4 linked regions of the Stegostoma tigrinum genome follow. The protein of the gene in region 2 purifies or fractionates together with the protein of the main gene of each other region. This does not show direct contact. Links are inferred from orthologs where the notes say so. Each region holds a gene or a part of one and is shown on either strand. Other genes may lie near its edges.

Region 1 (7,631 bases), on a different chromosome or scaffold from region 2:
TGGTGCTTCAGAATCTCAATGTTAGCCATGTTTTTATTCTAATACTGAGCTCTCACTGAGGAAGGCTTGAGGCTTTCCTAGGTTCACAAATGTCTAGTAAGCTTCTCATCCCAGACTGAAATGACTGACACCTTTATCCTAAGACTGGTACTACATCACTGACTGATGTTAATGTAGATGTGGTTTCCAGGAGGGAGTCAATGAAAAGTAATCAGAAACCCAAAATCCAAGATCTACCACCTTCTTTGGCCATTGAATGTTGATGAAATTACAGTTGAAATCAATTCCACACCCACTGGGAATTAAATTTGGACCTAGCTGGTTTGTGGCTCTAAATTTTGGTGAATAAGTGATGCCTTTATCCAATTATTCCTTTGGGAGGCTAGTGGAAGAATCACAACACAGTCCGGATGTGCACACCAGATTTGTGTCCCACCTGGTTAACAAGATTGACTTTCAGATTACTTTCTTATTACTGATTTTCCAAAGAAAAAGTGAATTATGGGTCATGCCAAGCCCTCTAAAAGCCTGCAAAACCTTTAGGTAGAGTTAGAATAATCTACTTAAGAGCCGTCTTGGAATGAGTGATGTCGGGTCATGGTGCAGAAACATGGCAAGATACTGTGCTGTGGGTACAGAATTGCTTCCCAATTCCACTGCATTCTATTTTGTGAGGAGGTGCTAAGAGGAACCAGGCATGTGTACCTTCTTGATTCCAGGTGCTTTGTGATCTGGGAGACCAGACAAGATGTAAAACCAAAAGGGTTGTGGTTTTGGCTGTTCATTTGGGGAACAGTTTTACTGGTGCTGGCACCACCTTTCTTTTCTGTGGCATGCCAAAAGATATGAAAGTGACAGACAATGGGCCAAAGCATTAGTTTGAGGTTTTACACTGATTCTTAAAGAAGGGGAAAGAGAAATAAATATTTAAATTCCAGAGCATAAGGCCCAGGTACATTGCAATTTAGTTAGCAGAGGAACTGGATTTTGGATTGGAGAATGTTGGGAATGCAATTAAGGTCAAATTTAGAGGAACACAGTTCTTAATGGATTATCAATTTTGACATATAGAGAGAGGTGAGACCATGTCGGGATATGAACAAGTTTAAGACTGAATTAAGACCTTAATAAATAGGAATGAGAGTAGGCAGTTTGGCCCCCTGAGCCTGCGTGGCTATTCAGTAGGATCATGGCTGATCTGAAATTTGTCACGTTCACATCCTTCATGTGATCCTAAACAATTTGTGCTGGATGGATACTCAATTGATGAATGGCATCAGAATCAAGTCTGGCAGTCTTCGCTTCCTGACGTTTGGGTGTGGGCTCAGTGGAAGATGAGAAATTTATTAAGGGAATTCCACAGCCTGGGCAGTAGGCTATGTTAGTGTTAACTGATGATGCACAGAGCATTGGAGCCAGATCTTAAATGGGGATAGTGGCTGGGAATGGCAAAACAGAAAGAAACTAGATTTTTTTAAAAATTGACCCTATGACCTCATTGCATTTATATAGTGCCTTTCACAACTTCAGTACATCTCAATTAATTTCCTTATTGCTAATTTGGCTATAATAGTACAGATATTAATTTGGATGCAACAAAATCCCACTAACTTACTGTTAAATTGTAATGAAAAAAAATCAACTGTTGAAGTACTCAACAGATCTGACAGCATCTGTAGAGACAGAAAGTTAAGGTTTTGAGTCAGATATGACCTCCAGAGTAATGTATGTTGTTGAGGGATAGATATCAGCCACGACATTGGGGATAATGCCAGGATTCTTCAAAATAATGCCATTGAACCTATTATCACCATCTGAGACAGTAAACAAGACCTCTGTTTAATGCTTCATTTGACACATAATGGAACAGGGATAGGCTTCTCAGCCCTTCACTGTTATCTCTCTTGATAACATCTTGGCTGATTTGATTACTTCACATTGCTGTGTCTCCACCCTAACCTTTTGACTCCCTTGTTGGTCAAGAACCGACGCTACCTTAAAAGTATTCAATGACTACTCTTCCCCTGTGGCCTGGAGAAGAGAATTCCAAAGATTCAGCCTAGTTTTTGTTTTTGAAAAATAAACCCCTTATTTTTGAACTGGAAAACCTATTTCTAGTGTCTCCCACAAGGGTTACCATCCTTTTAACATATCGCTTATGAAGACTTCTCATATCATATATGTTTCAATAAGATCGTCTTATTTTCAGAACTCCAGTGGAGATAGGCACAGTCTGTCCAATCTTTCCTCTCAAAAAAACACCTTCATCCTAGGTGTCAATTGAGTGGACCTTTTCTGAATTGCATCCAACATATGTACATCCTTTCTTAAATGAGATCAAAACTCGACATAACGTAAGTATAGCCCCAATAATATTCTATACAACCATAGCAAAACATTTCCACTTCAGTTTTCCGTTTCTCTTGCAATAGATGACTATATTGTGCTTGGCTTGCCTTCACAGAAAGAAGATGTACCTCCAACAGTATTCACTCAGTATTACACTTGCAATACTGCTGATACAGGAGATATGAAATAAAATGTGTGTTGGAGAAGCTCAGCAGATCTGGTAGTATCTGTAGAGAATGAAACAGTTAATGTTTCAAGTCCTTAAAATTAGAGGAAGAGTGAAGTTCTGAAAAAAGTGACACTGGATTGAAAGATTGTATCTGTTTCTCTCTCCAGAGATATTGCTGAGCCTATTGAATTTGCCTAACATTTTCTGCTTTTGTGACACTTGGAGTGTCATCCAGGATTTTGTGTCCAAGTCCCCTGTTTGGGAATTAACTCAATGTCCTTCTGACTGAAGCAAGCACTCAGCAAACTCAACCACTGCATTGTCATTTGATGTCAAGCCTAGTCTGACTTTTAAGACATGACCACATCTAAGCAAATTCTATACAACATGACTAAATACAAAGTTTTGCACTTCAGTGTGAAAAACAGAAAGCAAGAATATTATTTAAATGATCATCTTTTGGGAAGTATGGATGTACAAAGGGATTTGGGTATCTGTGTACATCAGTCAATAAATGGGAGTTCTGAAGAACTGGACTCAACATTAATTCTCTTTCTCTGCACGGATGCTGCTAGACCTGCTCAGTTTCTTTAGCAATTTCTGTTTTTGAGCCAATAAATGTAGATAGGTGCAACAGGTAATTTGGAAAACAAATGGTACATTGTCTTTCATTGCAAGAGAATTTGAGTTCAGAAGCAGGGGTGTCTTAATGTAGCCATACAGGGTCTTGGTGTAACTACAGCAGGAGTATGGCATGTAGTTTTGGTCTCCTTGCCTAAAAATGGATATATTCCCATGGAAGGAGTGCAGTGGAGATTCACTAGGCTGCTACTGGTTATGACAAAACTCTCAATAAGGAAAAATTGGTTCAACTGGACCTGGTAGAGTTTAGAAAGATGAGAGGGGATCTGATTGAATCATGTAAAGTTCCAACAGGACTAGACTTATTTGATGCAGAGAGGATGTTTTCCCTGTCTGGGAAATCTCGAACCAGAAATCACAGCATCAGACTACGAGAGTTGACTATTTAGGTCAGAGATGAGGAACAATTTCTTCATTGAATTTGTGGAATTCACTGTCACTGAAGGCTGTGGAGGCCAAGTCACTGAATACCTCCAAGAAAGATAGAGATAGTAAGAACTGCAGATGCTGGAATCAGAGATGATACCATGTAGACCTGGAGGAACACAGCAGACCAGACAGAGGAAATATAGAGATAATGGGAACTGCAGATGCTGGAGAATCTGCGATAATAAAGTGTGGAGCTGGATGAACACAGCAGGCCAAGCAGCATCTTAGGAGCACAAAAGCTGACGTTTGGGGAAACGTCATCTTTTGTGCTCCTAAGACGCTGCTTGGCCTGCTGTGTTCTTGCAGCTCCACACTTTGTTATCAGAGAAAATATAGATACATTTTTATTTTATAGATACATTCAAAGGCATTGAGGGGTAGGGGCAGAAAGTAAGGCTATGACATTGAGGTTGAGGATCGTTCATGATCATTTTGAATCCAAGGTTCAAAAAAGTTTGTATGTTTCTAGCACTGGACTGCAGTGATTCAAGAGGGCAGCTCAAGGCTAGCTAGGGATGGGAAATATCTGGTTGATGAATATATTTTAAAAATTCAGTCCTTTTGCTATATTCTTTTACATGTTTCTTTATCAAATATTTACCCCAATCCCCTCCAAAACTGTAATGTATTCTGCTTCTCCAACCTCTGCATAATAAGCTCTCATTTGCTCAGTTGAAGATGACCTTGAATTGATGTTCTTCAGTTAAAAATTCTCTGCATTTGTCATCCATGTGAAAGCTCTGGTGTTTATGTTTTGTTCCTTTTTTTGTTAAAGAAATAAGTCTCTGTCAGAGTTATTTTCCTACATTTCTCCATGATTTCGCAGGTATTTTGAATCGGGTTTTAGATTTCCTTCAGGATTCATTTGTCCTCCTTCGCCCACTGTGATGACCTTTGGCATGTTTCGGGGTGGGGGAGGAAAACACGAAAACCAACCGGGCTTGCTGACTGTCAGGTCCTCTCTATCGTGGCTTTGATTGGCTAAGTGACGTCGCCGCGCGTAAGCGCCTCCTTTTCCGTTTGGTCCTGCCCCACGTCAATCAGACAAAATGTGTATTCGGTTGAGAGGGAGTGTGTGAAAGGGGTGGGAGGTCGGCTCAAGATGGCGGCGTCGCTCAGTTGCATGTGTCGCCGCTCAACGCTGGACCTCTGCAGGAAAATCTTACGCTGCCGGCCTGCGACCAGTCGCAAAAGGTCCGCTTTGAAAAGTTGTGAGGTAAAACTCGGCTCTTCGCCGGCGTGTCGGACCCTGTCGACGGAAAGAGGCCGCGGGCCGAGCGGCGCCGGGGCGGGAGGCCTGGCTCATGCGATCCTGCAGGAGAAGCTGCAGCAGCAGGAACGGGCCAAAGAAGAGGCCGGCAGCGGGGAGCCAGGGGCTGGCAGCAGCGATTCCGGCGCCGACCAGGAGCAGAAACAGAAGCAAAATGCAGCCTATGCCAAGAAAATGGTGCTGAGACTGGCGGGACTGCTGGGGGCCGGCAGCGCCTTCGCGGTGGTCTACGTCTTCGGTGAGTGGCAGTAGTTTAGTGTCCACATCTGAAAAATCTCCAGCTGAAACTTCATGTTGCTGCATTGTTATCTCCCATTTACTATGTCACCTGTCATGCTGCAGTTGCAGACTATAGCCATGGGGTGGCACAGTGAAACGGTTTAGCTTAGGGTCTATCTGAATACTTAAGTGATCTTGTCATTAACAGTGTAACGCGTCTTTAGGAGTGTGGATACACTAGCTTATAGAATTACAGGATTGTCTCAGTATAGAAGCTGGCCGTTTAACCGAGTCTGATGAAGGGCCATATGGATTCAAAATGCCAACTTGCTTTCTTTCCATGGATGCTGTCTGTACCAGTTGTCCAAATGAGCATAAGCTAATGCCTGTTGAATCTCTTCTTAACTTAGGGAGGGTGTTGTACCACATCTATCTCTCACTTGTAGCTGATACAGGAACAATTCTTCCCTTACGCCTTGTGTTACAAAGATTTTCAAATAGCTGATCAACCTGTGTGGCTGCTTTATGATACCGGTTCTGTGGCCATTATATCCTAAGGTAGGCCTTGACCTCGAATTTCTGGTCAGAAGTAGTAAGGATGCTATATACTATGCCTTTAGACTCCTAGTGTAATTTTAATAATTACCAGCTTGGGTGGTTAGCTAGATGTGACTATAGTGCTGGCTGAATTGTACATCTGTTAGTTATTTGAATGTTACCTAAAGATCAAGACCTGTTGTTTTAGCTCTTTGCCTTGCTATCATCAGGGAAAATGCAAGAATGTCAGATTTCAAAATTAACAGAACAGTTTACACTACAGGAGGAACAAAAATGCTGATCAGTTGACAAGTTGGTTCTGATTAGCTGAGTCACCAAAGCAATGGGAAACCTTTTGATTCTCCAAGTTCCTGAATAATTCAGAAAAGCCATGAGGCCATGCTTGTGAAAACTAAAACACAGCACTTATCCATTAGATGTGATTCTGGATATGTCAGTAGGGACACTAACAGCCAATGTAAGGCAATCAAACACATGGGTAATGTGGCTCACCTATTTTGCTAAATGTGACAGTCAAAATAATGTCTATAAACAAAATAAACATGTTCAGGCCTTGCACCTTTTTAAGAATTACCCAAGAACCTAGAATTCTTCACCCAGATCTCAAAGGAACTTGGGACCTTTTTCACTAGTACTGTTTCTCATTTTAGTATGCATTGAGAGATTAGCTTTAAAAATGGTGAAACCATTTTATTACTTCAGTTCATAAATGTTGAAACAAAAAATAAGTTGAATAAATGCAATGAACTGGCTAAAAACTATCTCAACTGGCCAGCACAGTGGCTCAGTGGTTAGCACTACAGCCTCACAGTGCCAGGGACCCGGGTTCAATTCCAGCCTCGGGCAACTGTCTGTGTGGAGTTTGTAAATTCTCCCCATGCCTGCGTGCGTTTCCTCCCACAGTTCTAAGATGTGCAGGCTAGGTGGATCGGCCATGCCAAATTGCCCATAGTGTTCAGGGGTGTGTGGGTTATGGGTCTGGGTGGGATGCGCCAACGGGCGATGCGGACTTGTTGGGCCGAAGGGCCTGTTTCCACACTGTAGGGAATCTAGGCTAATCTAAAGTCATTTTACTTCCTGCAATTCTCTTCTATCTTGACCAGAGATTCTTCTCCAGCTCCGAGGTAACTTTTTCTGTCTTTGATAGCCACATATGTTTCATTATTCATTCATAGGATGTGGGGAGTCGCTGGGTCGGCCAGCATTTATTGCCCAGGGGGCATACAAAAGCAACCATGTTGCTTTCAGTCTGGAGTCATAGGTAGGCCAGTCCAGGTAAGGATGGCAGTTCCCTTCCCTAAAGGGCATTAGTGAATCCAGGTGGGTTTTCTCGATAATCGGCAATGAATTCACAGTCATCAGTAGACTCTTAATTCCAGATATTTTAAAAATTGAATTCACATTCCACCATCTACCATAGCCAGATTTTAACCCAGGTCCCCAGAACATCACCTGGGTCTCTAGGTTAATAGCCCAGTGATAATACCACCAGGCCATTGCCTCCCCGATTTCTTGCTGCTGCTTAGCTTAATCATTTGATGTGAAGAAATAACTCATTCTGCCAACAGCGAGGAGCATAGCTGTTTTGGGCAAAGGAAGTGCTCAGGCTGAAACACACTGTTGCTTTTTCCATATTTGCTATCAAATTGAAGAATACAGTTCCTTCGCATTTCCTGTTTTTCAGCTTGTAAAATCAGAACAAAGTATCCTTGTCTTGAAACATTGGTACCATTTCAACTTTAGTTCTCCCAAATGACTAAAGTACAAGGTGCAGTCTCTGACAATTGCCATTATCTTGTGGTATCAATACAGTTGTGGTACAGAGCTTGCAGCTTGGAGGTCGTGAGTTCAAATGCCAATATAGTAAATTTAAATTGAATTCAGCAAGTCTTGTAATTTGTAGACTAGCTCTGACCAATCAGTGACTAGGGGTACAATTCTTTATCCTTCCTTTCTTACCTGTACTAACTTAGTAAAAAAATAGATATTTTGTTT
Region 2 (7,803 bases):
CTCACCCAATCGTAGTTCATTCACTCAGAATAAATCCATTGCCATTCAAATTATACTATTATGACATGAAAAACCCGAAAAGCTCATAAAACCAAATAATTAAGTCTATGGTAAAGAGTTAAATCACAATTCCGATTTCCCACTTAATTTTAACAACACCAGTATTACTCTTTCCTGTGAAATCGGGAATCGTCGCCATTTGTAATTTGATCACTTCAGCCATGTTATATTTGTTGCACTAGATGGCAGTGCAGTCCAGTTTAATCTCTGCCTTCCACTAACATTGATCAGTTTGAGGAAGCTCAAGCTATATTTAACTTTCAGTTTCCTTCTATTAACTTTGTAATCCTGAAATTCCTATTAAAGCATCTTGTTTGAATCCATGTTTGAACCCCTCCAAATAGCTTTTGCCCTACTATTGCACTCAAATACTTCATAACAAAATTAGAAATGGCGTTCTGTATGACTATGGCAATGGTAAACAGTCCCTCATTACACTTCCCTATCTGTTTGCAGCCTTTGACACATTGACCACACTATCCTCTTCAGTATCACTCCAGCATCATCTTGCTGGGGGGGACATTATTCTCTACTCCCTATCCACCAACTCCACACACTCTTCCTATTTGATTCTGAGTTGATCATATACAGGTAATGTCATGAAGACTGCCCATTTTCACTTCTGTATCACAATTTGGCTCATGTGTCCATTCTACCAATAAATTCCCACCCCAGTCTTTGTTACTGTTTTACTTGACTATTCCAACACACACCTTGTCAGCCATCATAGCCTCCAAAAACTTAAATTCATCTGAAACTCTGCTTTCACAAAAATATAGAAAATAAGAACAGGGGTAGATCATTCAGTGCTTCAACATAATTATGTCCAATCAGCCAACTCGGTAGACTGTTCCCTCTTTCTCCCCATACTATTTGATCCCTTTAGTCCTATGAATGTATCTAGTTCCTTCTTGAAAACTTTTCATGTCCCAACGTGTACCAAATTTGATTCGACTGTAACCTTTGTGCATGCTAGCCCGCATAGGTTTCTGCTTTTTAAATTCTTATCCTTGTTTTTAGATCCCTCCTTCATCTCATTGCTCCCTAGCTCTGTAATCTCCTCCCATTCTCCAAAGAGCGCAACCTCCAATTCTTATCTCTTGAGCACTTAAAATTTTCATCACTCCATCACTGATGATTGTGTATCCATTACCAAGATCATAAAACTTTTTTTTCATTCATTCATAGGATGGGCATGTCATTGGCTGGGCCAGCACTTATTGCCCATCCCTAATTGCCTTTGAGAAGGTGGTGGTGAATTGGCTTCTTGAACTGCTGCATTTCATTTGGTTAGTTATACCCACAATGCTGTCATGCGCGCAATTTTAGGATTTTGGCCCAGCGACATTGAAGAATTGGCATTATATTTCCAAGTCAAGATGGTGAGTGGCTTAGAATGGAACTTACAGGTGGTGGTGTTTCATGTACCTTCTGTTGATGCCCTTCCAGGTGGTAACATTTGTGAGTCTGGAAGATGTTATCTAAGGAGCCTTGGTGAGCTACTGTAGTGCATCTTGTTGATGGTACACACCACACTTACTGAGCATCGGTGATGGAGGAAGTGAATATTTGTGGATGTGGCACTATTGAAGCAGGCTGCTTTGTTCTGGATGGTGTTAAACTTATTGAGTGTTGCTGAAGCTGCACTTTTCCAGATAAGTAAGGAGTAATCCATTGCATTCCCGTTTTATGCTTTAGAGGTGGTAGGCAGGCTTCCCTCCAGGGAGTCAGGAAATGAGTTGCTGCAGGATTGCCAGCCTCTGACCTATTCTTGGAGCTACAGTATATGTGTGGCTACTCAAATAAAAGCAAAATATTTCAAATGTTGGAAATTTGAAATAAACAGAAAATCCTGGAGAAACTCAGCAGGTCTGGCAGCATCTGTGGAGGGAGAGCAACAGATTTAAAGTTTCGAATAAAATATCATCATCAAATCCCTACAGTGTGAAAGCAGGCCATTCCCATCAAGCCCACACCACCACCCCAAACAGCAATCCCACCCTGACCTACCCCATCCCTGTAACTCTGCTTTTCCCATGTCTAACCCACCTAGCCTGCACATCCCTGGACACTATAGAACAATTTAGCATGGCCAATCCACTTAACTTGCACATCTTTGGACTGTGGAAGGAAACCCAGCCAGACACAGAGAGAATGTGCAAACTCCACACAGACAGCCAAATGAAGGTGGAATCAAACCTGGGTCCAACACACTGAGGCAGTAGTGCTAACCACTGAGCCATCATGCCATCCTCTGTTCTGAAGAAGAGTAATATTAGACTTGAAACATTAACTCTATCTCTGTTTCAACAGATGCTGCCAAACCTGGTGATTTTCTCCAGCATTTTCTGCTGTTATTTATAAGGGTAGTCGAGTTCACTTTCTGGTCAAAGTTAACCTCCAGGATGGTTATGTTTCCTCCCTAAATCACATATTTCCCCTCTTTCCTGCTTTAAGACAATCCTTAAAATCTACTTAATATCTCTCGTACATTTCTATGTGTAGTTTGTTACTACATTTTGTTTGATATACACCAGAAAAATTATGTTGGATAACTTAGTGCAGTAAAGGTACTAATAAATTAATGTTGCCATGTTTTTTTTATTCATTCACAGGATGAGGGTGTTGCTGGATATGCCGCATTTATTGCCCATCCCTAATTGCCCAGAGGGCAGTTAAGAGTCAACACATTGCTGTGGGTCTGGAGTCACGTGTAGGCCAGACCAGGTAAGGATGGAAGATTCCTTCCCTAAAGGTTTATTCATGTATAATCAATTACATATCGAAACCGTATTGAAAGATTGGTTGTGTAGTTAGAAAATTGCCTCAGTTAAACATTTAAACATAATCAACAATAGGTACTGGCTCAGTAGCTTTCTTTAAAATGACAATTGTGGCCCAAGAAGTCTGTACTGGCAAAGATATACTAAATCGTCACTTTCCAGCACTAAAGGTATTGTAATAACTATGTAGTTATATATCATAATATGCACTTGTTTTAAGGCTGTTCTGTGTTCAATCATATTTAATTTCAAACTTATTGCATGGAAGTTGACATTTTAAAAAGTGCAAGTCAGCATCTCTTTACAACAACGTCATAATAGTAGCTTGGATTCATACTGATCTCTATTTTAGCAGAGATGAAAGCAGTATTGGACCTAGAAAATCTTTGGAGTAATTGAATCTGAAGATGACAGTGGTGTGAACAAGAGTTTCAGCAGAAATTTCCTTTTTGACTTGACCAGCGTGTAAATGGATTACATAATGAATTGGAAGTAGATGTCTTTCTGACAGAAGGAAGATACGTTGAAAGCTCAGTCCAGCAATGAATAGGATAATAAGGGTCTAAACAGTCTGATAAACCACGAGACAGTTACAGTAGCTCACTGGAGTTGCACTATTAATTGTCACATTAACACATTATTTTCTTCATTATATCTCAAGAAAGTAGCAAATATAATCAATCAAAATGGTGGATGCTGTAAATCAGGAACAAAAACAGAAGTTGCTGGAAAAGCTCAGCAGGTCTGGCAGCATCTGTGAAGGGTCACTGGACCCGAAATGTTAACTCTGATTTTTTTCTTCACAGATGCTGCCAGACCTGCTGACGTTTTCCAGCAACTTCTGTTTTTGTAGCAAATATAATCATTTTATTCAAGAAGGAGAAAGGCTGTATGTAGACCAAGTAACGTGACATCTGATATCTGGAAGGCATTGGAATTATGAAAGGGATTATACCTTAGAAAAACATGAAGTAGTCAGCAAGAGTCAACATCATTTCATCAAAGAGAAATCATGTTTAGCCAATTTGTTGGAGTTCTTTGATGGAGTTCCATGGTCTGTGGATAATTGTAAACCTGCAGATGAGCTGGACTTGGATTTCCAGATGGCATTTGATAAGGTGGCACATAAATGGTATTTGCAGAAAATAAAAACTCATGGTGTGTAATGCATTGATAGAAAACTGACTGGTTGGCAGAAAATAAACAGTATGCATAAATAGGGCTTGGATGTGATAAGTCTTCCAGGTCAAATCCTGGTCTTTGCCTGAGCCTAAATTCATCAGATCCCAATCTTTCATCTACATGGCCCAGTTCAATTATCTTCTCTTCTTGATCTAAACTGATTTACTGGCATACCACAAGGAATTGACTAACGTTCTGTGCAATTGAGAATTTTAAATGTTTACTTAGATAAGAAATTTAAAGTATTAGACAAAAAGTTTGATGGGGGCAGCAAAATTATTTGGAATAGATTTGTTTTTTCAATGAGGAACCGTTTAAAAGCAACAGTACAACTGCAAACAAATGCAAAATGCCGTAGATGCTGGAAATCTGAAATAGAAACTGAAAATACACGTAATACTCAACAGGTATGAGTTCTACACCTGAGTCCAGAGTGGACAATGTGATGCGCCGAGGTTCCCAGCGCAAGGCGTCAAATTCACTTTGAAAAGCGGAAAATGGTGCCAATACTCAGCGGTTCAGGGCTGATTATAACTGAAAGGCTGGCGTATCTGCCCTCTCCACCTATACTGATTGACCTGAGTGTGTCCTCAGCATTTTCCGTTCGTGATCAGATTTCCAGCACATGCTTTTTAAAAAACATATATAAATGGTCTTTAGCGTGTTCAGCTGCTCAGTTGGACTCTCTGAACAAGCCAGAGACGGACACAATGATGTTATAATTGTTTTTTTGTGCGTGTCAGGGTGGTTGTTTCGACCGACAGCTACAAGACACTCTCATTTCCAAACATGCCGAGGTAAGCTAACAGGATGGAGTGGTCAAATGACCTCGGTGGAATTTCACTTGCTATTTGCAGTGCAGTGTCCCTAAAGCCTGGCAACAGGCTGACGATGGCTGTAAATCCACTATCTTATTTCAACTGTCTGACGTCATCCAAACTCACATTTCTTAACGTTGGAAGAGCAGAGAGAAAACTTTAATGTACTTTGCAAATTAATTTACCAAACACTACACCTTTCTCTGACTCATTTGTCTTCGGTGTGAGGGAGACTTTTATTGTTCTATGTCCGTCTCCAAGGGTCTGAGGAACTTTTTGGTGTTTATGCTCCTCTCACGAAAAGCAATGCATCTTTTCCAGTGCCCGTGACCTGATAGTTGCTTCTCTTTAGACCGTGTGTGAGTGCCGGAGCAGGTATTTAGCTCCCATTCAATGGGGTGGGGGAGGCGAGTTTGCAGACTCGCGCAAATGGTTTGAGAGGACGACCGTTCTCCTGCATTGGAATCGCGAATATCCTAGCTCTTCCGGCATCCTGCACGCAGGGCTGCGATGTGAACGGAGCCTGTGATCGCAGCAGTTGGCCAGAGTGTGTGGGAACCAGTGTGCAAGTGGGGGAATATGATGATGTCAGCGGGCGACAACTTTCTCGCTTAGTTATGGCGGAGGTCAACTTGAGAGAGTTGGCCAACCTTCGGATCTCCAACACGGCAGCGGGGATCGGCGCCGAGTCCTCACCCGGCTCCCTCGACCTTTAAAGGGACAGCGATCGGTGAAAGTGTGAGTGCGGTTGGGTGCACTGGGAAAGGGTTAAAGCCGCCGTTTGTTCCCTCTTGTCTGGTTTTATTTTGTTGTTGGTTGCTGCGGGTGGCTGTCCCTCTTTGCAGGAGGGCCCAAAGCGTCGAGCTTGTAGGCCGGTCCCAAAAATATCTGTTTTCTTTTAAGTTTTCCTTCCCCACCTTCCTCGACCCGAAAAGACTGCTCGGCGTAAGGCCGTTTCCCTCTTGGCGGTAACACGCAGCGACCATTGTAGAAGTTGTGCACACATTGTGCAGTCTGTCTGAGTGCCCAGGGTCAGCGCGATTGCTTTCGCCTCTGTTACACTAACTCGATCTATTGTGCGCTTCACATCTTTTCAAAATCCACCGAGTTCGGAGGAGGTAGTGCTGGTGGCGGTGGCGGGGCGGGGGTAGGAGGTGGTGGTTGGACCAAGTAAACTCAGAATATTTCGAGGGGCACAGAGACAGAGAGAGACAGAGAGAGAAAATAAAAATGGTCTGGTTCGCCCACACGATATTTATTCGAGCAAGAACACCGTCAACACACGCCGGGGTTTCATTCGGTTGAAAAATCCAAACACCTCGCCAGTGACTCCACTCCAGAGGGTTGTCACTCTCGCTAACTAATCTGCCGTGTGACTGTGAGAAGGTTTACTTGTTTCAAGTGAGCGGAGAGAATTCTCACGTGTACGATTCAGAAAGCATTCACGCGTGTCCTGAATGACACACAGGCACGATGGTGGTGGTCTGTGACTGTATGTGTGAGTGTCTGTCTGTACGTGGTTTGGGCTGGGTTTGGTGGTGGGTGGGGTTGCGAATTTTCACCCAACTCTTAGGCAAGTGGTTCTGTCGTGCGAGGCTTCCAAAAGGGGGAAACACCCATTCTGGAAATAAACTCCAGACGTAGAGATCCTTTCGTACTAATCGATCATTAACTGAAGTCTTTGGATGTAAACCTGGATCAAACAGATCGAAGCATGATAATGGCAGTGCGGTATCATTCTTTCGATCACTAGGAGCCAGACTTCCTTGAAACTGCCGAAATAGCTCTAAGCTTTTTTTTTAAGTTGAAGGCAGTTCAGTCAGCAGGCCCACAAAACATTACACCAGTGTAAATTCTACACTTATTCTATCCACTTATGCAGAATCCCTCTCGCATGCTGTCGATTCACACATTTTTATATAAAACAACACATTGCTGTTTGTTGTTGTATCCAGTTTAATATGTTTAAAAATAGGTAAATATTACCTCCAGTTTCAGGCAGTTTGCTGATAATTGGCTACCAGCACTTTCTCCTGCGTAGCATTGCTTGCAATTGAGATTTTGATATTTGGTAAATGTATTTTTCTGGTATTTACACTATAAAATTGAAGGTAACACAGTAAACATTGAGGCACACATAAAATTAAGTGGAAACTCATTTGAGATTGAGAAGAGTGTACCTTTTATTTTGTGAACTGGAAGTACAAAAATATAAATCTCCCAGAACTGACCCAAACCTGTCCTTGGTCTTCAGTTTTGGGAATCATTTAGAGTGTCTGTGTTGATTCACATATCTGTTTGATAAGACACTCAGGATGTAACACTGAAAAGTATGGTGTCATGTGACTACCACAGTGATGATTCTGATTTTTGTCTGTAGTGATCCCTGGGGGCACCTTTCTAAATGGATGTGGGAATATTGTGCGCCATAGTACACAATGGACTATCTCCCTACCACTCCTACGATTATTTGTGGGGTTGAACAAGAAAACATTTTGTAATTGGGATGTTTTATTTGTGAATGAAATATCAACAATCTTTCATAACATTATATATCAGACCAGGAAATGTTGGAGGACTATACAAAGAGATCCACTGTGTTTTGTGCTGTTGATCTGGCAAGCAATCTGTACACAACAGCCTAAAATACACCACCAATTCTGATGCTGTCCTTGCTTAAATATGTGAGAATGGAACTGCAGAAAGACTGGTATTTCTTTGTGTGACCCTATGAATAGGAGTTACATAAATTTGCATTCAGTTACTGTTCTGTGAATAACGACCCATAAACAACAGTCACTGTTTATGCTGGTACAGCCTTGGGTAGGTCAATTGTAGAAATAAGGTCACACTGGGAAAGACTTATCTAGATCTTGACACATAACAGGTAAACAATGCAGGAATTTGGATGTTTGTAGGAGTACTTATTTCACCATAGGTGGTAACTACTGCATACATAA
Region 3 (7,212 bases), on a different chromosome or scaffold from region 2:
CAAACATAAAAATTTAATAAAATAAGACACAGGAGCAGAAATTAGGTTATTCAGTCCACTGAGTCTGCTCTGCCAATCAATCATGGCTCTTAGTTTCTCAACCCCATTCTCTCGCTTTCTCCCCATAACCTTTGATCACCGTGGCAATGAACTCCACAGATTATCTATCTCTGGCTGAAGATGTTTCTCCTTGTCTCCGATCTAAAAGATCTTCCCTTTACTCTAAGGCTGTGCTCTCAGGTCCTGTCTCTCCTACCAACAGGACCCGAGAGGACCCCCAGAGGCTTCTTCCCAATATCCACTCCGTCCAGGCCATTCATCATTCTGTAAGTTTCAATTCCCTCACTCTTCTAAACTCCATCACGTATAGATCCAGCGTCCTCAAATGTTCCTCATATCAGGGCTTTCATTGCTGGAATCATTCTCCTGAACTTCTTCTGAACCTGCTCCAGGGCCAGCGCATCCTTCTTGAGATATGGGGCCCAAAACTCCACACAATACTCGAAAAGCAGCCTGACCAGAGCCTCAGGTGTACAACCTTGCTTTTATACTCGAGTCTCCTCAAAATAAACGCAGAAGTCGCATTTGCTTTCCTAACTACTGACTCAACCTTTAAGTTTAAGGTGAGAGAATCCTGGACTACAACTCCCAAGCCTCTTCGCACTTCAGACTTCTGAATTTTCTCCCCATTTAGAAAATAGTCCATGCTTCTGTTCTTCTTACCAAAGTGCATCATCTCTCACTTTCCCACGTTGTATTCCTGGGGACCTGGGTTCAAATCCCGCTATGGCAGACGGTGGAATTAGTATTTGATAAATATCTGGAATTAGGGGTCTAACAATGACCATGAATCCATTGTCAATTATTGGGAAAAACCCATCTGGTTCACAACTGTCCTCTAGGGAATGAAACTGCCATCCTTGTCTGGTCTGTCCGACATGTGACTCCAGGCCCACAGCAATGTGGTTGACTCTTAACTGCCCTCTGGGCAATTAATGCTGCCTAGCCAGCAATGCCCTCATCCCGTTAATGAATTAAAAAAAGACAACTTAATTTTTACTAACAGCTCTACTTGGCATCAACATGTGGACATCAGATGAGGTGAGGCTAGTTCGACTTAAACCTACGTATAGAAGATTTGACCACAGCCAAAAATGTAATGGGGAATTTTCTGAACTTTCGCATACTACTGATTTCCTTTGCCCAACCATGGTTAGCCATCTATACCTACGACTGTCTAATTCCTGAAAGCTAAATTTCTATGTCCTAGAATAAACACCTTAAAATCTACTTATTTGAATGAATTTTTAGTCATCTGTTCTAATACATTCCATGATTCTGCTCAACTTCCTTTAACATAATTTTTTAAATAAAGAAAGCTCTTTAGGATGTTTAAATATAAGGTGTTATATAAATGCAAGCTGTTTTTGCTCAGAAGAAACTAACAATGTTAACCAATAAGTCAAACCCTCAAAGGCTGTTAAACTGGACAAAAATCAATGAAACTAGGGCATAACATGAGTACCAGTGCACAGTAGGCAAAAAAAATGGATGTGAACTAAGAAAACCCCCAGCAGGTGAAAGGTATTAAAGATAAAGGCTGGAAGAACACAACAAGTCAGGCAGCATTTGGAGGAAAGGAGCAGTTAACTTTCAGCTAGAATACTCGAAATGATGACTGCTCTTTTCCTGCAGATGCTGCCTGGCTTCCGGCGTTCTTCCAACCTCCTGCTTGACTACTTTAGATTCCAGCATCTGCACTTTTTTTTGGTCTCTAACCAAAGATATTAAAGATCTGGTTGAGAAGAACCAGGAGGTGCAAAGCAGACTGGTTTCCTGGGAGCGTTTCTATTGCCTCTAACTCCGAGACAGCAGCGGCTGCCCCGTTCCCCGTTCTCCTCCGCCGACAACGGATAGAGCCAGCGGGATCACAAGTCCTTTAACACGGCCTCCAATAATGAGCACTAAGACACGATCCCCAAGAATTGCGGCACCCCCTGGGTTGGGGTTGCGGGGGGAGAAACTGATGTGTCTATGTAGAGGCAACACCTACCAATCGCAATTAGACCCGAGAGGCTGGGAAAAGAAGCCCGAACAGTAGGCCTCGCACCTTAGCCACCTACTCCCACTCCGAGGCTAAGCGGCCCAGACCTTTAATATCCAAATCACCGTCCCGTTCCCCCCACCCCCACCGTGTCTCTCTCATTTTTTTTAAAAGGGGGGACGGTGGGAGGATGCGAACAATAAAATCTGTTGGGCCTCTGATCGCTAAGGTCGCATCCATGGGTCGGGTAAAGATCCCCGGCTTGGGTGGCAGTGGGCCGGGTTAAGAGTTATTTAAGAAAAAAAAAGTACATTTTTAAAAATCCAACTCTTTACCACCGTTGGTACAAAAGAAATAAAAATTCAAACAGGAGGTGAGAGACGGCGTCCGTTAACGGCCACAGCGCGCGTGAGAAGCTGGCGGAACGTTCTAGTAAAGGGAGTCCGTTGGCGGCGCTCGCGCAGCCACGCGGCCGGAGGAGGAGAAGGAGGAGGGAGGCAGAGCCGTACGACGGATTAGCAAGTACCAGTTATTTACACTGATTAGATATTTATGCACGCATTTTTAAAAGTATAAATATATACATAATATGTATACACACACACACGTAAGCGTGAAGTGAAGCTTACCCCCGGCTGTAACGATGCATTGAGTGTGTTTGTTGTTGAGGGGAGGGAGAGGTTAGGAGGTAGAGTTCGGGAGGATGGCGACGGTTTTCAGTTCCCCTCCCCCTCCCCTGCTGTCGCTGCTACTTGCCCGGTTTCTGGCCGGCACCCCGCCTTTTCTCCCTTCAGGTAACTTGCTTTCTTATTTAATTCCTCCCTCCCTTCCCATTTCACAGCCTTTTCTTGTTCGATACACCACCCCCGGCCTCTTTATAAATGGTTTTTTTTTAAATGTGTTTTTCCTTCCACGCCTTCGCCTCTCCACCTGGATGGGCCGCAGGCTGCGCGCGCATTCGCCTCCCTTTTTTCCCTCGCACCCCCACCCACTTCTTTCGGCCCACCCTGATGCACCAAGAATTCCGATTGGTCTGCGGGAACCGGGCGAAGTTGACATCCAATCGGGTTGCTGGTTATGGTCGGGTAGGCCGGAAATCGCTGCGGCTGGCGGTGTCAACAAACTGCTTGCGGACAGATAGACCGTATTCACAAGCTGTCATCTTGGATGTCGCCTCCCTACCATTCCTGTTTGCAGCAGCAGCAGCAGCAACAACAAACAAACAATCCCCGTGACACCCAGCTTTGTGTCAGCCGTGCCCCGGTGGAATGTTAAAAAGCAAAATACCGCGGACGCTGGAAATCCGAAACAAACACAGGATATGAGATAATGGGAACTGCAGATGCTGGAGAATCCAAGATAACAAAGTGTAGAGCTGGATGAACACAGCAGGCCAAGCAGCATCTCAGGAGCACAAAATGGGTCTAGGCCCGAAACGTCAGCTTTTGTGCTCCTGAGATGCTGCTTGGCCTGCTGTGTTCAACCAGCTTCACACTTTGTTAACAAGCACCGGATATGCTGGAGAAACTCAGCAGAGTTGGCACCAAATGTGGAGCGAGAAACAGTTAAAGTTTCCAGCCACCCGGTTATGCCTATTTTTCAGACCTCCTGAGTTTCTCCGACATTGCCCCTGTGTGTTTCAGGTTTGTAGCATCGTAGTTTTTCGCTTTTAGATGATGTTTTGAGTTGACGTTTCTTACTCAAAGTACCGGTCTCGAAACGTTAGATGTGTTTCCGCCTCCACAGATGTTGCCAGACCTGCTGCGTTTCTCTAGCATTCTCCGTGTTTGTGTTTGGAAACTGTCCAGCCTGCCTCGCCTCCAGTCCCAGAACCAACACAGCCCCGACCTCAATCACTCAGCGGCGGCAGGCAGTCGACACTTGAGACTGTGCGCGCGACAGGCGACAAGCTGCGAAATATCGTCAATAGCCTTTATCTAACCATCTGGAATAGAAAGCTCTCTACTAACCTGCCCCTGGCGCGCAACACTGTCAAGATGCCCAGCGAGCTAACAGGAGAACGTTGATCAATACTTGTATCTTTGAAGCTTCCACTCTATTATTTTTATATAGAGTCATACAGCACGGAAACAGACCCTTCGGCCCAACTCGCCTATGCCGACCAGGTTTCCTAAACTGAACGTTTGCCATAATTTGGCCCATATCCCTCTAAGCCTTTCCTATCCGCCAAATATCTTTTTAATGTTGTAATTATATTTACCTCTACCACTTCCTCTGGCAGCTTGTTCCATGTATATACCACACTCTACCTGTAAAAGTTGCACCTCATGATTCTTTTAAATCTTTCCCCTCTCACATTAAACCTATGCACCTTAGTTCTCAACTCCCCTATCCTGGGGAAAAGAACTTGGCAATTCAACTCATCTACGACCCTCGTGATTTTATAAATCTCTGTAAGGTCACCGCTCAGCTTCCTATGCTTAAGTAAAAGTCCCAGCCTCTACTTATAACTCAAACCTTCCAATGTTAGGAATATCCTTCTAAATCTTTCTTTGTATCCTTCCTATAGTAGGGTTACCAAAATTATACACAGTACTCCAAATGGGGCCTTACTAATGTTGTATACAGCTGGAACATGACATCTCAACTCCTGTACTCAAAGCTCTGACCAATGAAGGCAACTGTCCCAAATGCTTTCTTTGCCACCCTGACTACCTGTGACACCACTTTCAAGGAACTACGTACCTGCACCCCTATGTTTCTCCACTTGGCAGTGCCCTCCAGGGCCCTAACATTAACAGTGTAAGTCCTGACCTGGTTTGTCTTTCCAAAATGCAATACCTTGAATTTGCTTGCTTTCAACTCCATCTACTATTCCTTGGCCCACTGGATCAAAATCCCATCATACTCTTCGATAATCACCTTTACTGTTCACTAAACCACCAATTTTGGTGTCATCCACAAACTTATAAACCATGCCTCTTATATTCTCATCCAAATCATTTGATAGCAATGACGAACAGCAATGGACTCAGCGCTAATCATTGCCGTACACTATTGGTCTTCTATCTGAACAAGCCCTACCACCACTCTGTCTTCTACCATCAAGCTATTTTTGTATCCAATTGGCTAGGTGTCTCTGGAATCCCATGTGAATTCACCTCACTCACCAGTCTATCTCGCAGAACCTCGTAGAAGGTCTTGCTAAAATCCATGCAGACAACATCTACTGCGCTGTTTTCATCTATCTTCTTGGTCACCTCTTCAAAAAAATCTCAGTCAAGCAGGGCTGAACTTTGAATAAGGAAATTTGAAGGAAATCTGTTTCACCATTCTGGAGCACTGTGCTAAATTAGAATACATAGTACAGTACCACTGTATCTGTTAGGAATCTTAGACATTAGTTTAATTTTGTAATATGATTTGTCTTTTCATTTCGCTTTCATCTGTAAAAGTTGTGATGGCTCTGCATACAAACATGTAATTGTGTACTATATCACTGTTTGCATATAAAAATAGATTGGGCATACTTATATATTTGTACAGTTTATTTGAGAGTTTGGACTTTAACCAGCTGCATATGGATTGTTCACCTCTGTGATAAATGGGGTAATTAACTAGTGGATGATTCTGGAGTGATGATTTAAAACCGGTATGTGCCAGAGCAGATGTGAAACATTCTCTTAGAGCAATAACATGGACTTATTTGTATTTTGACAGCAAGACAATTAAAGAGCAAATATTAAAAGATATTCCCTTGTTTTTGATTTTGAAGATTCGATAGTTTTTCTCTTAGGAAATACCGACAGATTGGAAAGCCTTTGATTTCCATTCAAATGTGACCTTGCTGGGTTTAGATGTAACAATTTCTCCTGGAACAAGGAGTTAGTCCAGAACAGTTAGGAAATAGCTTACATCAATGTAAGAATTCCAGAACAGAAATATTTTGGTAATAAACCTGAAGGCCTTGGTCAAAGCTAAGAAAATTTAAGCACAGTTGTGTGAATAATCAAGGGAGAGGCTATCAAGCTCTCAAGATCAGTAATTGAAAGAAACAGTTAATTCAAAACTATAGAAAAAAATAAATGATCTGTCTCTGGCAGATGGATCAAATATCAGTGGGGGGGGAAACAGTTAGTAGACAGTGTCTTTTGTACCATACAGTTGAAAGATAGTGTTGGAGAATGGCATGCAACAATTCAGAGTAAGAAAAATCAATTGACAGTGAGCTGATTTCAAATGGGGCAAGAGTTGAACTGTGTGTGGAGCTGGATGAACACAGCAGGCCAAGCATCATCTCAGGAGCACAAAAGCTAATGTTTCGGGCCTAGACCGTTCTTCAGAGAGGGGGATGGGGAGAGAGGGGGAGGTGGACCGAAGATGGAGAGAAAAGAAGACAGGTAGATAGGAGAGTATAGGTGAGGAGGTAGGGAGGGGATAGGTCAGTCCAGGGAAGATGGACAGGTCGAGGAGGCGGGATGAGGTGGTAGGTAGGAAATGGAAGTGCGGCTTGAGGTGGGAGGAAGGGATGGGTGAGAGGAAGAACAGGTTAGGGAAGTGGAGACAGGCTGGGCTGGTTTTGGGATGCAGTGGGGGGCGGGGGGAGGGGACGAGCTGGGCTGGCTTTGTGATGCAGTGGGGGGAGTTCTTCCCATTCCCCACTGCATCCCAAAACCAGCCCAGCCTGTCTCCGCTTCACTAACCTGTTCTTCCTCTCACCCATCCCTTCCTCCCACCTCAAGCCGCACCTCCATTTCCTACCTACCACCTCATCCCGCCTCTTCGACCTGTCCGTCTTCCCTGGACTGACCTATCCCCTCCCTACCTCCTCACCTACACTCTCCTCTCTACCTATCTTCTTTTCTCTCCATCTTTGATCCGCCTCCCCCTCTCTCCCTATTTATTCTAGTTCACTCTTACCATCCCCCTCTCTGAAGAAGGGTCTAGGCCCAAAACGTCAGCTTTTGTGCTCCCATTCTTTTTGAATACGCTGTATAGGTGATTTTCTTCTGCTCTTCGTAGTTCCTCTGTGCTGCAGTGTGTGGTGGCTCGTTGGAATAATGTTCTAATGCAGCTTCGTTTGTGGGTGTTGGGATGGTTGCTCCTGTAGTTCAGTATTTGGTCCGTATGTGTTATTTTCCCGTAGACGCTGGTTTGAAGTTCCCCATTGGCTGTTCGCTCTACTGTGACATCTAGGAATGGCAGTT
Region 4 (7,530 bases), on a different chromosome or scaffold from region 2:
AACGCCTTCCTCTACACTGCCAAAAAAACCCAGCTAGTCTTGTCATCCACAATCTTATTTATCATCATTGATAAATATCACAAACAATCAAGAACTCAGTACCGATCCCTGTGGTACACCACTGCACACTGGGCTCCAGTCTCACAAACAACCATCTATCACCACCCTCTGTCTCCTGGAACGAAGCCAATTTTGGATCCAACTTGCCAAGTTACTTTGGATCCCATGAGCTTTTACCTTTTTTATCAGTTTTTGATTTGCAACTTTGTCAAAGGCCTGACTGAAATCCATATAAACTGCGTCAAACTACCCTACCCTGATTCAAACTCATGGTTAACTCCTCGAAAATTTCCACCAGATTTGCTGGCATGACTTCCCTCTGATAAATCCCTGCTGACTATCCGCGTCAAACCTTGTTTTGCTAAATGGAGATTAATTTTCTCATTCACTACTTTCTCCGATAATTTCCCTACTACTGATGTTAGTTTGAGTAGTCAATAGTTCCCTGGCCTATTTCTACCACCATTATTGTAAAATGGAACCACATTAGCTGTCCTCCAGTCCTCTAGCACATCCTCTGTAGCCAGAGAAGACTTAAAAATTTGGGTCAGAGCCCCTGTAATTTCCTCCCACGTCTCCCATAGCAGCTTGGGATACAACTCATCTAGAACTGGGATTTGTCCCCACTTTTAAATCCACCAAAATCTCCAATACCTCATCACTTCTTATATTTACAGTACAATATTTATTAGCAAAACAGATCAGAGAAAATGCTGCCTAGAAAGCAACTTTTTTAAGGGAATTTGTTAGTAATTTTTGAGGATGCAGTATAAGACGGTGTCAGATGTTTCTGTAGATTTAGCCATTCGCTCATTTTCATATTTGCTGAGAACAATTTAAACTACAAAAGCTAAAAAAAGTTTTAGTTTGAATATCTGTTAAAATTATATTGATTAACCATTTAAATGTTATTAGTTTAAGACAGGTAATTTTTAAACAATATTTACATCCCTAACTTACATAGCAATCAAGCCACAAGGCACGATCAACCTGAAGTTTCTGGCCCAGAGATAGTGATGCTAGCCGCCGGGTCACAGGCCTGTTTTGAAACTGCTATTTTCTTCCTCAATGTTTTCTTCAACAACATGCTGAAATGTTATAACACACCTCGCAGGCAGGTGGGTCTTCAACCTAGACGCCCTGGTCCAGGGATAGGGACATGACAACTGTGCAATTAAAATTCTTAAAAGCCTACTGCACGTTTATTTCCCAGGCTGTCTTCCATTCCAAGTACTGGTCAGGCCTGAATTGCTTAGCTTCTAAAATCAGACAAGATCAGTCATTTTCAGACTGGTATCGTTTTAGTCACTATTGTATTGACATGTAATTCTCAACTGCAGGAATAATTCAGAGTATTCATTGTGAATAAACGGGAATCGGGCACACAGCATATTAGTGTAAGTTTACCAAACCTTAAAAACAAAATGGGTTTTCAAGTTTTAGCAGTTGAGGCCACTGCAGTTCAAATGCAGTATCAATGCTGCTGCAAAACCTTTTGTTTAATCAATAATCATAAACCTGTGTCCTTTGATCAGGAGCCCCGCTTCCCGTCGGCTTTCCCCTGTGAAAACTCCCCAAGATTTTGAACAGCCCCATATTAGTGCTGTCTCCGGTCTTCCCGGCTGAAGGCCGAAAGAACTCTGTGCCTGTGATCCGATATTTTAAAAAATCAGAGCTGTACACACCGTTTACTGCTGACTGAAAGCTACAGTTGTATGCACCGAATATCACTAAGAGGCCAACTGCTGGGTAAGACGGGACGCGGCATGATTACGATTTGACAGAGCCTCAACGACCAGGCGAGAGGCACAGAGAGAGAGAGAGAGAGAGAGACAGCTAGAGAGGGGGCGGCGACAGGAAGTCTTCACTAAAAATAAAATCAGAAGTCTCTTTCCGATTCGGTAAGGCCATCCTGACCTCAAGGATTTTTTTTCTGTTTAGGATCCCAAAGAACAATTCCAGAAAATAACAATTACATTTTTCACCTTTTTAAAAAAAATTATAACAAATACGAGGATTACACTCGTTTCTCAACCTGTGTGTTATTTTTGTTTCTGTATGAACCGCTTTAAAGGACGGGACTGGTGTCCTCTCCTACCTCAGCTCTAAGTTGTCCAGTGTCTCCAGGAGCCGCCCCGATCGATCTGCCATGGACATAGAGCGGAAGAACTTGTTTTCTACATCGTTCCCCTTTACCTGATTGATCTTAGACTGGGCCATGATGCTGACAAGTTTCAGGGCTGTCAACTGGCCTTTCTCTCTCTCTCTCCCGTTCCTCCGGGAATCTTGGTTCCTCTTGTGGGATCTGCTCGTCTTCCTGTGGGAGATGAAGATTTCCAAATAGGGTGAGGACTCCCCCACTGTCCAAGGAGGGAGGGGTGGGGGGTAGGGTGGATAAACCTCTACTCACAGGAAAGAAGGATGCAGAACAGAGGCAACAGAAATCTCTCAGTCCCTGGCTCAGATTTATTCCTGGCCAGTGGGTTTTCTAGAAAAAAAAACTCAGCAGGCGCCAAGCAATATATTTAGCAAGGCGCATTTTTTCAATCTTTCCAGTCAACTGTTGATGGAGATTGTGAACATGTCAAAATCTTTTTTTAAAAAGTCTTTTATCCTCGTGTTTATTCTTTGTGAAACACTAATGTAAGCTGGAATTTCTTTTTCTGGACGTGATTCGTTCCATTTCCCACTCCGTCACCACCAAGTTCCCCTCTGAGCCCATATCTTGCTCTTCCTTCAATATCTCCAAAGACTGCAATGATTCAAGACTACAACTCACCACCAATAAATTAAAAAAATCGTTTTTTTTCAACCCTATTTTGAGATGAATGGGCTCATTTAAAAATGCTATGAGACGTACCAGTCTACCAAGATCGGGAATATATTGTTCTTTGATTATTCTGAAGTTGGATCTAGTCTTGGAGATCCGTGTGACAGTGAGTTGCACATATTCACCTCCGAGTCCGTTAGTTGCGCACGCTTTTAAGACCCCTGGTGATATGTGCATCCAGTCTAGGCTGACACTACTGCCCAGTATCGAGGATGTCCTTCACTAATGAAGGTGTTGTCTTTGAGATGATATGAAATAGATTGTCTTTCAGTGGCGCAAAAAATGTCGGTAGTTTTTTTAAAAAAAAAGAGTCCTAGCTAATAGTTCTCCCTTAATAAACATCACTTAAAATCTACTTGATCATTGTCAAGTGCAATGTAAAATGTTACAGTACTTCAGCGGCTGCAAAACACTTTGGAGTATCTGAAACCAATAAAAAAATACTAAATAGACATTTCAGGGATAGTAGGAACCTGCAGATACTGGAGAATATGAGATAACAAGGTATAGAGCTGGATGAACACAGCAGGCCAAGCAGCATCAGAGGAGCAGGAAGGGTGAGGTTTCAGGTCTAAACCCTTCTTCAGAAATGGGGGATGGAAAGGCGGTTCTGAAATAAATAGGGACAGAGGGAGAGGTGGAAAGAAGATGGATAGAGGAGAAGATAGGTGGAGGAGACAGACAAGTCAAAGAGGTGGGGATGGAGATAGTAAAGGTGAGTGTAGGTGTGGAGTTAGGGGGGGGGGGGAATAGGTCAGTCCAGGGAGGGCACACAGGTCAAGGCTGGTAGGTAGGTGATGGGGGTGGGGCTTGAGGTAGGAGGAAGGGATAGGTGGGAGGAAGGGCAAGTTAGGGACGCAGGGACAAGTTGGGCTGGTTTTGAGATGTGGTTTGGGGAAGGGAGATTTTTGGAACCTGTGTGAAGTCCACATTGATACCATTAGGCTGCAGGGTTCCCAAGCAAAATATGAGCTGCTGTTCCTGCAAACTTTGGGTGGCATTGTCGTGGCACTGCAGGAGGCCCAGAATGGACATGTTGTTGAAGGAGTGGGGGGGGGGGGGGGGGGGAGAGTTGAAATGGCTCGTAACTGGGAGGTGCAGTTATTTGTTGTGAATCAAGCGTAGGTGTTCTGCAAAGCGGTCCCCAAGCCTCCACTTGGTTTTCCCCGATGTCGAAGAGGCCACATCCGGAACAGAGAAACAGTATACCACATTAGCAGATGTGTTTTGATGTGGAAAGTCTTCTTGGGGCCTGCGATGGGGGTGAGGGGGGAGGTGTAGCACTTCCTGCGGTTGCAGCAAAAAAAATGCCCTGGGTGGTGGGGCTGGTGGGGAGTGTGGAGTGGACAAGGGAGTTACAGAGAGCGCAGTCCCTCTGGAAAGCAGATAAGGGTGAGGAGAGAAAAATGTCTTTGGTAGTGCGGTCAGATTGCAGACGGCGGAAGTGCTGGAGGATGATGCGTTGGATTCAGAGGTTGGTGAGGTGGTATGTGAGGATGAAGGGATCCTGTTTTGGTTGTGACTGCAGGGAGAGGGTGTGAGGGATGATTCACAAACTTGTCAATCTCCCCATCCCGATCACATCGCAAAACCAGCCAGGCTCGTACCCACCTCCCTAACTTGTCCTTCCTCCCACCTCAAGCCCCACTCCCATCTCCTACCTACCAGCCTCATCTGCCCCCTTGACTTGTCTCCCTGGACTGACCTATCCCCTCCCTACCTCCCCACCAAGACTCACTTTTACTGGCTCCATCCCCACCTCTCTGACCTGTCTGTCTCCTCTCCACCTATCTTCTCCTTTATTCATCTTCTATCCACCTCCCCCTCTCTCCCTATTTATTTCAGAATCCCCTTCTTCTCCCCCATTTCTGAAGAGGAGTCTGGACCCGAAATGTCAGCTTACCTGCTCCTCGGCCTATGTTCATCCAGCTCTACACCTTGTTATCCCACTAAATAGAAGGTCTTCCTTTAACCTTCATGTGGCCATCCATGTGCACAAAAAGTGTACCAGGCTTCAATCATATGCAAACGGTTGAAATAAAAAGCAGGAACTTACTTGGAAAGTTTGGATGGAAGGAGATTCACAACATTTCTTTCTTTGGTCATTTATTCTCTGTATAGTTCATTGGATGTTACTGACATGTTGGTTGCATTACTTGAAGATGTTTAAATAAAGAATCACTAATGATGCAGTACCCATCAGATCATGTCTCCATCAAGTCAAATAGACAGCCAGACAAGCTGGTTATGTTGTTCTGTTTGATTGATCTTCCAGCACATCATCTTCCACTAAGCGTTTCTCACCTGTTTTGATATCCTCTTTGGCCCCCTCACCTGTTGTCTGCTAATACGATTGTAAGGCTACAATTGTGTTTGCTACATTAACTGTGCAATATAAACGGCAAGCTTTTGGAGGTAGAGAGAAGAATTAAATAGCCAAGTCACTGAAAGAACTCTGTTCTTCACCTATATTTGAGCTGCTTGCCATTTCCGAAACACATCACTTCTGACAGTGCTGCAATGAAATATCAGGTCAAGTTATATAATGAAGTTCAGGTTGATCTCAAAACACTGAGGTGATAATGTCACAAAGTTTGTCACAATGAGTTTGAGCTGATGTTTTTGTTGATAAGGCTCTACGCAAATATAATTATGTCTCTCTCTCAAAATATCTCAGAAAATCTCATGACGATGGGTGAAGAAAAAATATTTGATTTACGCAGCATCTATCATAATCTCCAGATATCCCAAATTCCTTCATAGCAAATGAAGCACTTTTGGAAGCTTCTTCATTATTGTAAGGAACGCAATAACCATTTTGTACAAAACAAAACTGTACTATCAGAAAAAGCTAAGTGGAGGGGAAGGGAAATCAATGTGAAATATACATTCCAGGGAAGTACATGTAAAAGATCTCCTATCTTGGTTGCAGTTTATAGTGTTGCTTTAATACGAACAATAATGAATTTCAGCATTGTACATACCTTCTTCAAATTAGTCCGCATTAGTCATACCAATTGAGTCATGTGCTTATGGGGATTTACCCAATGTTTATCGAGATATAGTGAATCTGAACAATTAACATATGTACCCCTTGTATTTCAACTTCACCGAAAGTGAGAAGAGTGGATATTAAATGAGTGTCTTGGCTCAAATTGGTATTCTGATCTATCAGTGTACTGTACACAAAACAAGATTTCAATCAGTTTCACTTAGTTTAACAGATTCGACTCATCTCTGCCCAAAGACAAGTGGTAATCAGAGATCTTGCACCTTTTTGTTTTTGAGTGTTGGACATTCTGGAAAATTATTAACTGAATTTCCTTGCATCTTTGAACAACAGGATTTCCAATATAAAAAGATAGTTCTAAGGTGGACGTTAACTAACAGCAATGTTTAACAATGAGTAATTAAGGTGTAATTTTTGTGGCAAGGACAATAAACATTGGTAGAGCTATCCATTGACCATACATAATGATTAATAAAATCTCTTCTTCAAAGTCTTTAAAAAGAGAGGTAGTCCTATTCAAGGAAAGTAGCTTTTGTAACATACAAGCACTTTACAGCAATATTACTTCAAAGGATTTGGGAAGAGATGTCCTGAGGTCTTATCTATGAAATGCACCTTTGATGTAGGTAAGATATGGTGCATGACAAAGCATGGTTTGCAACATGATTCTTCAAAGAGTACTGAAGATAAAAACTGAAGCTGAAAAGTCATGAACTCATGTTGAGCTTTGAACCTCTCTGATGTTTGGCATCATGACTTTGTTTAGCATGCTACATTTCAATATCTCATACTTTTGGGGGTGGGGAATGAACAATCCATAAAACCTTGTAATATGCTGTGGTCAGAGGTTCAAAGCCTAGCAAGGCAGCTGGAGGAATTTAAATGCCATCAATAAATCTAGAATTAAAAGTCTGCCTCAGTAATTTTCTTCTGAAGGTTTCGACAGCCTCTGTATCCATTACACTCTCAGGTGGTGCATTCCAGATCATCAAAACTGTCCACTGAGTTATACTGCATTATCTTCTTCCTGCATGTATTGTTACAACCCTATCCATTCTTTATAACTTTTCCTTCTCTACCCAACTGCTAACCTTAATTTTTAAAAAAATTTTATCAGAAAAGACTGGGATTCCGTATAAAGTTCACGATTCAGTCAGCACCCTCCCCTCCGCTGGGGAATTGACTTTGGGAACAGCAGGAATCATTACGGATCTGATTGTCCATTAGTTGGTCACCACACAGAAACACACAAAGCAGAAACATAACCAAAGCTAAGAGGGAGTTAAACCCTATGACCTCTTAATAGATGGAAAATCAGCTTGTTAAAACAATTACAAATCTGGAGGAAAAAATTATGGGGTGGGGGTGGTGGAGGAATAAAGTTGTAAAGCCAAACCCTGCAGAGTTGTGTGGAGTGGAGAATCAACAACTAGAGCTTTGGCAGTGAAGTCCATGAAAGGACTGCTCCCAGAGAGGAGACAGACCGCATGCTCGGTTGGTAGGGAACCACGGGGGAGACTGGTTGAAACAAAGAACAGACAAGTGCGACTGGAGCAATAAAGGTTGAACTGGAAGACCGTTTTTGGAAAGGGGCTGTATTGAGTGTCCCCGCCTGATAGGATACCATGAG

What was found.
Region 1: the proteins of raf1b (region 2) and timm50 purify together in Homo sapiens (affinity purification with mass spectrometry; 4 studies listed by BioGRID and IntAct, with this or other methods). This does not show direct contact. The link is inferred for Stegostoma tigrinum from reciprocal best matches to the Homo sapiens genes RAF1 and TIMM50.
Region 3: the proteins of raf1b (region 2) and dicer1 purify together in Homo sapiens (affinity purification with mass spectrometry; 3 studies listed by BioGRID and IntAct, with this or other methods). This does not show direct contact. The link is inferred for Stegostoma tigrinum from reciprocal best matches to the Homo sapiens genes RAF1 and DICER1.
Region 4: the proteins of raf1b (region 2) and bag2 purify together in Homo sapiens (co-immunoprecipitation; 3 studies listed by BioGRID and IntAct, with this or other methods). This does not show direct contact. The link is inferred for Stegostoma tigrinum from reciprocal best matches to the Homo sapiens genes RAF1 and BAG2.

Annotation. Positions count from the first base shown.
Region 1 is NC_081392.1:2,961,862-2,969,492, reverse strand, and holds the start of timm50 (mitochondrial import inner membrane translocase subunit TIM50), read left to right. Parts: upstream 1-4,629; 5' UTR 4,630-4,691; coding exon 4,692-5,097; intron 5,098-7,631. UniProt on the Homo sapiens protein: Essential component of the TIM23 complex, a complex that mediates the translocation of transit peptide-containing proteins across the mitochondrial inner membrane. Has some phosphatase activity in vitro; however such activity may not be relevant in vivo.
Region 2 is NC_081364.1:25,156,123-25,163,925, reverse strand, and holds the start of raf1b (RAF proto-oncogene serine/threonine-protein kinase), read left to right. Parts: upstream 1-4,799; 5' UTR 4,800-4,814; coding exon 4,815-4,822; intron 4,823-4,968; exon of another isoform or gene 4,969-5,581; intron 5,582-7,803. UniProt on the Homo sapiens protein: Serine/threonine-protein kinase that acts as a regulatory link between the membrane-associated Ras GTPases and the MAPK/ERK cascade, and this critical regulatory link functions as a switch determining cell fate decisions including proliferation, differentiation, apoptosis, survival and oncogenic transformation.
Region 3 is NC_081363.1:6,496,677-6,503,888, reverse strand, and holds the start of dicer1 (endoribonuclease Dicer), read right to left. Parts: upstream 3,003-7,212; 5' UTR 2,674-3,002; intron 1-2,673. UniProt on the Homo sapiens protein: Double-stranded RNA (dsRNA) endoribonuclease playing a central role in short dsRNA-mediated post-transcriptional gene silencing.
Region 4 is NC_081357.1:92,219,344-92,226,873, forward strand, and holds the start of bag2 (BAG family molecular chaperone regulator 2), read right to left. Parts: upstream 3,003-7,530; 5' UTR 2,281-3,002; coding exon 2,159-2,280; intron 2,106-2,158; exon of another isoform or gene 1,746-2,105; intron 1-1,745. UniProt on the Homo sapiens protein: Co-chaperone for HSP70 and HSC70 chaperone proteins. Acts as a nucleotide-exchange factor (NEF) promoting the release of ADP from the HSP70 and HSC70 proteins thereby triggering client/substrate protein release.